2 linked regions of the Drosophila melanogaster genome follow. The protein of the gene in region 2 purifies or fractionates together with the protein of the main gene of each other region. This does not show direct contact. Each region holds a gene or a part of one and is shown on either strand. Other genes may lie near its edges.

What was found.
Region 1: the proteins of Ada2b (region 2) and Taf9 purify together in Drosophila melanogaster (affinity purification with western blotting; 4 studies listed by BioGRID, with this or other methods). This does not show direct contact.

What each region holds. Positions count from the first base shown.
Region 1 is NC_004354.4:17,840,242-17,843,897, forward strand, and holds Taf9 (TBP-associated factor 9), read left to right. Parts: upstream 1-1,919; 5' UTR 1,920-2,017; coding exon 2,018-2,168; intron 2,169-2,232; coding exon 2,233-2,918; 3' UTR 2,919-3,107; downstream 3,108-3,656. Other genes in the region: CG6398 (uncharacterized protein), read left to right, coding at 1-48, 114-454, 521-686, 749-858; CG8142 (uncharacterized protein), read right to left, coding at 3,179-3,265, 3,328-3,656. UniProt on the Drosophila melanogaster protein: TFIID is a multimeric protein complex that plays a central role in mediating promoter responses to various activators and repressors.
Region 2 is NT_033777.3:8,236,608-8,242,310, reverse strand, and holds Ada2b (transcriptional adaptor 2b), read left to right. Parts: upstream 1-1,795; 5' UTR 1,796-1,887; coding exon 1,888-2,001; intron 2,002-2,704; coding exon 2,705-3,580; intron 3,581-4,058; coding exon of another isoform or gene 4,059-4,128; coding exon 4,129-4,208; intron 4,209-4,275; coding exon 4,276-4,873; 3' UTR 4,874-5,197; downstream 5,198-5,703. UniProt on the Drosophila melanogaster protein: Component of several Gcn5-containing histone acetyltransferase complexes that regulate nucleosome organization; involved in acetylation of histone H3, particularly on Lys-10 (H3K9ac) and Lys-15 (H3K14ac).

The DNA.
Region 1 (3,656 bases), on a different chromosome or scaffold from region 2:
GCTTGTTCCGGATCTGCTATCCCAAGGAGCGGCCGCCAGTTTCAGCGGGTGAGTAATGCTGCATTTTACATCACATGGGAGTTATTTAATCCATTTCCATTCCCGTCGCGCAGTGCCCACCTATTTGTCACCGATCGAGACACACTGCTCGAACATCGACTACTTCCCGCAGGCGGAGGACGAGAAGATCGCCAACGAGGACGCCACATCGCGTCTCCATTTGGCCCGCTCCTGCATCGCTCTGTTCATCATCAGCTTTGTGACCATCTTCTGTGCGTTCTGGACCGGATTATCCGGCTGCTGGAAGCGGTCGTCGGGCGCCATCACAGCCACCTCGATACTGCTGCTAGTCACCTGTCTCCTGGCCGCCGGCGCCATGGGACTCTGGCACACCGTCGAGTTCTTTGAGAAGGAGAAGGTCGTGGGCGAGGATTACTTCCAGCAGTGGAACACGGTATGTACACCAGCTGCATTGGGCATGTATGTGGATTAACTAATGATGAATATCTTGATTTATTAGGTCCTGCGCGACAACACGAAGATCGCCTACGACTGGTCGTACATCGTGGCCTGGGCAGGAATCGGAACCTGTCTCCTGGCGTCCATTCTGCTCTCCGGCGCGGCCGTTTGCCTGCGCAACGAGCGGGAGAAGGAGGAGCAGCTGAACCTGCAGTACCTGATGCCAGGTATGTCCATCGTGCTGACCCTCTAATATAACTAATGACTAATTTTCGGTTTCCATTTCCAGTTTACTCGCAGAAGCAGCCACCCTATCCCCCTTATGCCAACTACGCCCAGCCGCAGATCTACCCAGGACCTTACTATCATGGCTCGCAGTACGGACCCTACAACTACTAGAGGCACACCCGAAGGGGCCAGCCAGCTTCAGCCAGCAGCTGCAATTGAGTTATAGAGACATAGAGATCACAAATCATGACCAGGAGGGAACCTGGTAGCCCTCCCCAGTAATCAAAATAGAGCAAGCGCTAACGAAATCTTAAAACGCATACATTCTGACAATGAAAATATTACTTAAAGCATCAATTTTTTTTTTCGACAAGAATCTAGTTTGTAGTCTATATAGAGCTATATAGTATATATATATATGCTTGTATGTATAACTGATCGTGGGACTTGAGTCAAAGTTGCGTCCAAGTTTTTGGTGCGCGAATTGTTTGCGCGTTATTTTGCAAATATCTAAGAGAGACGAATGGATGGATGGTTTTATATGTTGACCACGGCGAGATGGCGATTTAAAGACGGAACAATAAAGAGTTAATTTATTGTAGCACGTAACGTACATGTAGCGTATCTAAAATAATAATAAAGAAATATGTGTATGTATCTAAGCTAAAAGTTTCATTGTACAATGTATATGAATGTAATAATGCGCGACAAGCTTCAATTGTCTTCCAAGTATAGTGCATATTGTATGTAGAGCTGTACGTTTAATGAATAAAAGTTTCTTACGTTAATTTAACAGTTTTTAGCTCCTTTTGGCGGGACTTCGTTTTTGTTTTTCCACAACTGGGGTATTCAAGTTTTGTTAATAAGCTTATCAAGTCGTGTGAGAGAAATTTTTGACTTTATTAAAACTAAACAGAATTGTAGTCTTCATTTCACTCTGCCATTTGTTCTCGTTTCGTTAATTCCGAAATATTTTGAAATTGTTGTTTCTGATAGTTAATATTCCACCTATTGGTCCACCTATTATGCCAATGTGGTGTTATGTGATCTGGTAGAAATATGCTTATTGTTTAATATTTTGGATAAGCTTCATTAGATTTGTTCCTACATTTAAAAATCGATTTCTAATTTAGCCGTTTTTTTTAAATGGCCAGAGCCAGAGTTGCCACCCTGCAGTCCAGCGGCGTTTTCCACACTAGACGTCTGCATCGATAGTATCGCATAAGCTCACCGATTTCCGATAGACCCGTATATATGTACGTGCACAATTTCAATGGAATAAACAATCTTCTTGCAGCAAAGCCGACGTAAACATAATAACTATAGAAGTATGAGCGCAGAGAAGTCCGATAAGGCCAAGATCAGTGCCCAAATCAAGCACGTGCCGAAGGACGCGCAGGTGATCATGTCCATCCTGAAGGAGCTGAATGTCCAGGAGTACGAGCCGCGCGTGGTCAACCAACTGCTGGAGTTCACCTTCCGTAAGCGGCGATTAATGCCTTGCTTTTCCCACATCATTTTCCTAAATGCTGTCTTGCATTGCAGGCTATGTAACCTGCATTCTGGACGACGCCAAGGTGTACGCCAACCATGCGCGCAAGAAGACCATCGACTTGGACGACGTGCGTCTGGCCACCGAGGTTACGCTGGACAAGAGCTTCACCGGGCCGTTGGAGCGCCACGTTCTAGCCAAGGTGGCCGACGTGCGCAACAGCATGCCCCTGCCACCCATTAAGCCGCACTGCGGTCTCCGACTGCCGCCCGACCGCTACTGTCTCACCGGCGTCAACTACAAACTGCGGGCCACTAATCAGCCCAAGAAAATGACCAAGTCGGCGGTGGAGGGCCGTCCACTGAAGACCGTCGTTAAGCCCGTCTCCAGCGCCAATGGTCCGAAGAGGCCACACTCCGTGGTGGCCAAGCAGCAGGTGGTGACCATTCCCAAGCCCGTCATCAAGTTTACCACCACTACGACAACGAAAACGGTGGGCAGCTCCGGCGGATCTGGGGGCGGCGGTGGTCAGGAGGTTAAGAGCGAGAGCACCGGCGCCGGCGGAGATCTCAAGATGGAGGTGGACAGCGATGCGGCGGCCGTGGGCAGCATCGCTGGCGCATCCGGTTCGGGAGCAGGAAGTGCCAGCGGAGGAGGAGGAGGAGGAGGATCATCTGGCGTTGGAGTGGCCGTCAAGCGGGAACGTGAGGAGGAGGAGTTTGAGTTTGTGACCAACTAGCGAAACGACATCATTTACCTTAAATTAATATTCTTAAACCAGACCAAAGCACTTGCATTTGGTTGAGCGAACTGGGGGTCTAAATTTCAACTCGAATGTGAAGTCCCAAAAACCTTAGTATAGATTCGCCCGTTAATCATTATGAAATCTACGTTTTATACACAAATACAACTACCAGATTTTCATATTAAATATAACATTTATTTTAGACTCCAGTCGCGGATAAAGTACATGTAATGAATGTGCTGAGTGGGATGAGATTACTTTAAAGCTAAGATGATGCAGCAGCCAAGGTCCATGATCTGCAGATACTCGGAGCCGCCGTCCTGCAGTCGAAAGCAGCATTCCTGTGGGATAAAGGCAGCAATAAACAAGAGGAATCATATCTATCTATGCAGTCAGTACGTACGCCCAGCTTATCGCAGATCGTGGCCTTTTGCGGATCATTCAGCCCCGGATGATGGACAATGAACTCGACGAACTGTTCCATCATTTGGCCAACGCTGTAGGCGGAGAAGCCAATCTCCCGCACGAACTGCTCCAGGCGCTCGTAGTTCCCAGAGCGACAGACCTCCAGGTAATCCTCCAGATAGTACTCCGGTATAACGCCCGACATCTCGAACAGATCAGCAGTGTTGATGATGTGCTCGGGCCCTTTAAGGCGGTAGCAGGACTGCAAGGTGGTGATAGCGCGTCGCAGATCTCCGCCGGAAATTTTGACAATGGATTTATAGGCAT
Region 2 (5,703 bases):
CGAAAACGATCTTCGCCAGTAGCAGTAGCTGCAGATCCAACGTCACCAACAACAGCAGCCATCCCGAAATCGAGCACAGTGTGTGCAATCATATGCATATTGTTGGGCTGAGCGCCGCCAAAAGCCATGTCAGCACCTATTCCAGCTTCACCACACCAGTGATCCCCGCCAAGCTTAGCCAATGTTTAGACGCTTCCCAAGACGATGACGATGAGCAGCGAGAGTTTAGAGACAAAGACGAGACACCGAGCACAGCGAATCGGTTCCCATATCCGAGTGAGTATGGTGCAGAGTTTGTGGCATCTGCCGGCATGTTGGTCATACTGTTGCTAGTTGGCCATTGCCACAGGACCTTGAGCCCTCATCGCGCCAATGCCCATGACAAAGACACAAAGACTTTACATACCAAATTAGTTGATAGTTATGCTTTAGGACTACTCGCTTATGCAAATTTTGAGAGCCCATCCATCGCGGCCGCCTGCTTATGAGTCTCGATGCTGGGAGCAGGCGGTTCAGACGGATCTGGACATGGATCTGTTTCCGTTGCCAGTCGTCAATTATGACGACTGGGGTCGCGCCTGCGCTGTGACTTTTCCTTAGTTCCTTACGCAAGCGAATTCAAATCGAACCGTATCTGTGAAAATCGTGAATCTCAAACTCTTGAATGTCCTCGAACAGTATTGTTAAACATACTTCAGTCCCTAGGATCAGACGCAGGTGCGACACCAAAACCGAATTTGGCGCTCAAATAGACTTATTTAGACGTTTTTAGGTACTCGAATTGATAAATTTTGTTGGCCGTGTGCGTGTTTTTGAAAAGCGCAGCTGCACAAGTAACTTGCCATATCTGTTTAAGATCTGTTAACCCATTTTGTATCGTGTAACTCGTTTTGTTTTTCTCTGGTCCAAGCTAACTAGCAAGAGTAAACTAGCAACAATGCCACCAAAGCCACATGCAACACAAACTAGTCCTCACCGCCCACTGAGATATCTGGAACCCATAACAATTCGGCTACTGCTCGGTGTAAGACAGCAATACTAACAATAATATAAACGTATTCACCATATGAACTAATCGAATAATCAACTATTTATACAGCGTAGCCTACCCCAAATCCTTCCCAATGATTGTAATGATTGTAACCTACAATATCTCGGCAGTCCCACGCCCTATTCATGTTAGATGTAAGCAACCGAAATATTTTTCGGCAGTTATTACTTTTACACTTTTTGTTTGAAACAAAAGATATTTACCCATTTTATATTTTTTTTGTAACTCAGAATTTAGCTTAAGTTTTTAATCCTGACCACCGCTTAAATTTACGTATCGAACTGCATTTAAGCACATGAGTTTTTTATATTTTTATTCAGCACCACGCTACAAATGTTTCAACCATCACATATTCGTATTTATGTTTACCTTGTTTTGGTTTGATATGCACTTCTTTTATTTTAGTTTTATTTTATATATATTAATATTATTTTTTGTGATAATTTAAAAAAGGCAAAACACTCGAATTAAACTTTTAAAATAATTAAATAAACTACTATCAATATTTAACGCATAAACATTAGAGTTTTGAACATGTGCCTAATGTTTGAAATTTGTATTCTATATTTAATGTGTTGGTACTTTTGGTAAGTAGTATAATTTAGAAATTAACTATAATTCAGAGATTCAACAGAATTATGAAAATTAGCTAAAAAGGCTTTAAGACTAGCTATATAGGCGGCACTGTTCCGATGAACTGGTTCGGTTCGTTGGCCGTACATATAAGAATTCTCAGTAGAGCAATATGGCGTTGACTTCGCGTCTGGTCACATTACTGGCATAGGTTTTTTTCGCACAACTCATAATTGTCGTGAAAATCCAGGTTTTGGCCCAAAATGACCACAATCGCGGATTTATTCACAAAGTATAATTGCACAAATTGCCAGGATGATATTCAGGGCATTCGAGTGCACTGCGCGGAGTGCGAAAACTTCGATTTGTGTCTGCAAGTAAGTAACTCACACATACACGCCGTCGAGCGACGCACGTATACATGTTGCAGTAGGGTGGTTCGCTCTTTTTGAGGTTCTAGATACTTGTATATAGATTTGTAAATAATAAAAATCAGTTATTTTAACAAAATATTCTTGAATCACCCTCTTTGGATGGTCAAACTAATGGCCATATGGCCTCAATCCTCTAAATTAACGTCACCCAGATCTTGACAAGAAAAATATTTGCTTTAACTTTTTGTTAATTTAAAGGAAATTTGTTTATTGATTTTGGTAAATAGGTAGACTATCGTAGTTAATTTAATTAAAAATTACTTCCTTACGAATTAGCAGTGTCATTTTTATTTAGTTAAATGCCATAAATTAAAAAGAAAAAAATGTCAAAATAAGTGTCTGAATCTTGTATTAAAAAAAGGCCTGACAAAGCGTAAATTTAGGGAATATGAAATATGTTTCTGTTTTAATTTCCTAATCAAATTATTTTTATCGAGGAACTATTTACACGTTTTCTTTGTCAACATAATCGACCCACCCTGTTACACCCACACTCGTACAATCTAGAGATGCGTCGCCAATTTGGAACCAAAAACTGACTCATCTAGACATTCAAATAATACATACACACAACCGGCAATTTCACCATATTGATTAAAAAACAGCTGACTCTGTATTTATATTGTATTGTTTATTTTTTGCGCAGTGCTTTGCCGCAGGTGCGGAGATCGGCGCCCATCAAAACAACCACTCCTACCAGTTCATGGACACCGGCACTTCCATATTGAGTGTATTTCGTGGAAAGGGGGCGTGGACGGCACGAGAGGAAATCCGCCTGTTGGATGCAATCGAGCAGTACGGCTTTGGAAACTGGGAGGACATTAGCAAGCACATTGAGACGAAGTCAGCGGAGGATGCCAAAGAGGAGTACGTGAATAAGTTTGTAAATGGCACGATTGGAAGGGCCACTTGGACGCCGGCCCAGAGCCAGAGACCCCGCCTTATCGATCACACTGGAGACGACGACGCTGGTCCTCTGGGCACCAATGCTCTCTCTACCTTGCCTCCACTGGAAATCAACTCCGATGAGGCCATGCAGCTGGGCTACATGCCCAACAGGGACAGCTTTGAGCGGGAGTACGATCCCACGGCAGAGCAACTGATCTCGAACATCTCATTAAGCTCCGAGGATACGGAGGTGGATGTGATGCTTAAGCTGGCCCACGTTGACATATACACCCGCCGACTCAGAGAGCGTGCTCGCAGGAAACGGATGGTCAGGGACTATCAATTAGTATCAAATTTCTTCCGAAACAGAAATTACGCTCAGCAACAAGGACTCACCAAGGAGCAGCGCGAGTTTCGGGACAGATTTCGGGTCTACGCCCAGTTCTACACGTGTAACGAGTATGAGCGGCTATTGGGATCACTGGAGCGCGAAAAGGAACTGCGCATTCGACAGTCAGAGCTGTACCGATACCGGTATAATGGCCTGACCAAAATCGCGGAATGCACACATTTCGAGCAGCACGCCGCAACAGCGACGCACCGCTCTACAGGACCATATGGCCATGGCAAGACCGTAAGTTTAAGGCTCCGCAACAGGGGTGCCGAAATCGAACTAACCATTAAATATTTTATTTGGTCTTGAAAATCCGAACTTTTTGGAACTTTGTTATTTTTTTTTTTATTATTAAAATCCAAACATTACCTTTTCTTTCGATTGTTTCACAAAAATTAAAAGAGGTGTTAGGTGACCGGAACCGGTAGCTTTATAATTTTATCAACAATGAGTAGATTAACTTAAATTGAAAGAAAACAAATGATTTAAGTTGAATGTATAGATAAAAGTTTGGATAAATCGATTTGGAATACTTAATACAGAATATTAAATGGTCAAATTGGCTAGTTTCGATTTCATTCCCCTTGGAGTAAGCTTTTCCCACTGAGAATGCATGACGAGTTGAATATCGTGTGTTCTGCCTTGCTTTAACCGTCGTCCTTACCTGAACTGACCCAACTCTTACAATCGCTTTTCCGTCTTGTCTCACGATATTCAGCTCCACTGCATAATAAACGCGCCAAACAACGAGCGTTCGAATGGTTCTATAAGACAATGTTTAACCACAGGACCACACGCATACCTCCAATGGAAGTCATCGGCCGCCAAGCTCTTCCTTGCACTCCCCACAACCGAATCTCAGAAAGGTGTAAGTATTTTGGCAAAAAATTGCAATTACCTTAGAACTTGAATAATTCGGTTTTTCGTTTATTTAGCGAAATGTCAAGCGGCGGCGAGGCAAGTTCAAATTCAATCGCACCAAGAAACACGCTCCACATCGCCGACCCGACCTGCTCCGGCGCATTATTGCCCAGCAAAAACTACTTGGATAGCTGTCGGGGATCGTCGGCAGCTACGATGCTGCAGACGACGGGAATGGTAATGGGGGTAACAGTGGACTCGGGAGCGACGACGGGAGTGACTTCCACGGCTACGACGATGGCGAATCTGCCAACGAACTCGGCGAAGGGAAGCCAACAACATCTGCAGCCGCTGCAGCAGCATCCTCAGCTCCTGCAAAGCGGCAACCAGCACAAAATGCAAAACGAGGCCGCCGGCGGAGGCAGTGATCAGGTGCCCAGCATGAGCCTGAAATTGCGCACCCAGCTGGAGGAACTAAAACATCTGCCACAGCCGCCGGGCAGTGAACTGCTCAGTCACAACGAGCTGGATCTGTGCAAGAAGCATAATATTACGCCCACCACCTACCTCTCGGTTAAGACTGTCTGCTTGAGCGGAGCACCATCGTTGGGTAGTCCTATGGAGACTTCGCTGCGCAAGTTCTTTATCAAGTGCGGCTGGCTGAGCCACTGAACATCTTCCAACTTCCCGCTCCCCTTCGATTAAGAGCCACATGCATTTCCAAGGACTTCACTTTATTTTTGTATTAGTTAGAATAGGTTAAAGACATTTTTATACTGTTCAACTGTCGTTGGCATTTTCATCAAGGTAAAAACTACAAAACTGAAAATCAATTTACTTGTATCAAGTCAAGCTCAATTACAATAAGTGTTGTTCCTTTGTGTGAGATGTCGGGATTCAGATATTGTGTATTAACTAAGCTTAAGTAGGGGACCCAACCAATTGAATATGTATGATATGAATTGTAAATGAAGTAATAAATGTAATAGTGAATGTACAACAAGGACGCGACTTGTTTCTCGGATCTCACAGCTGGGAGACCGCTTTGGACTGAATGCCGCTAGGATATGTAAGAAGTAAGGTATTGAGTAAGCCTCTGATAGCGATAATACCGCGTTGAGTATTTATATTCGTATATTATTTCTTATGGTAGCTAGTTTTCTAGGCAAGATTCTGAACAATGCATTTGAACGTAATTCATTAAAGCCCATGAGAGCATGATAATCAATGTACTAGGCTGAGGAATGGAAAACAATGCTGGAAAAAATATATAAATATCTAATATGTTAACACATATGGAATGTTTTATAAATTAGCGAAGATTAAAACTTGTTAAATGAAAATGCGGTTATCTAATGACATTCTTCGGTATTATAAACTTAACAAAATCACTCATTCAGTTCAAGAAACCCACTAGTTATTTATCCTAGCTTATGTTCGTCCAATGCGGCACCCTAAAGCATGCACTCTGTAACCGTATACCTACAAAAATATATCATATA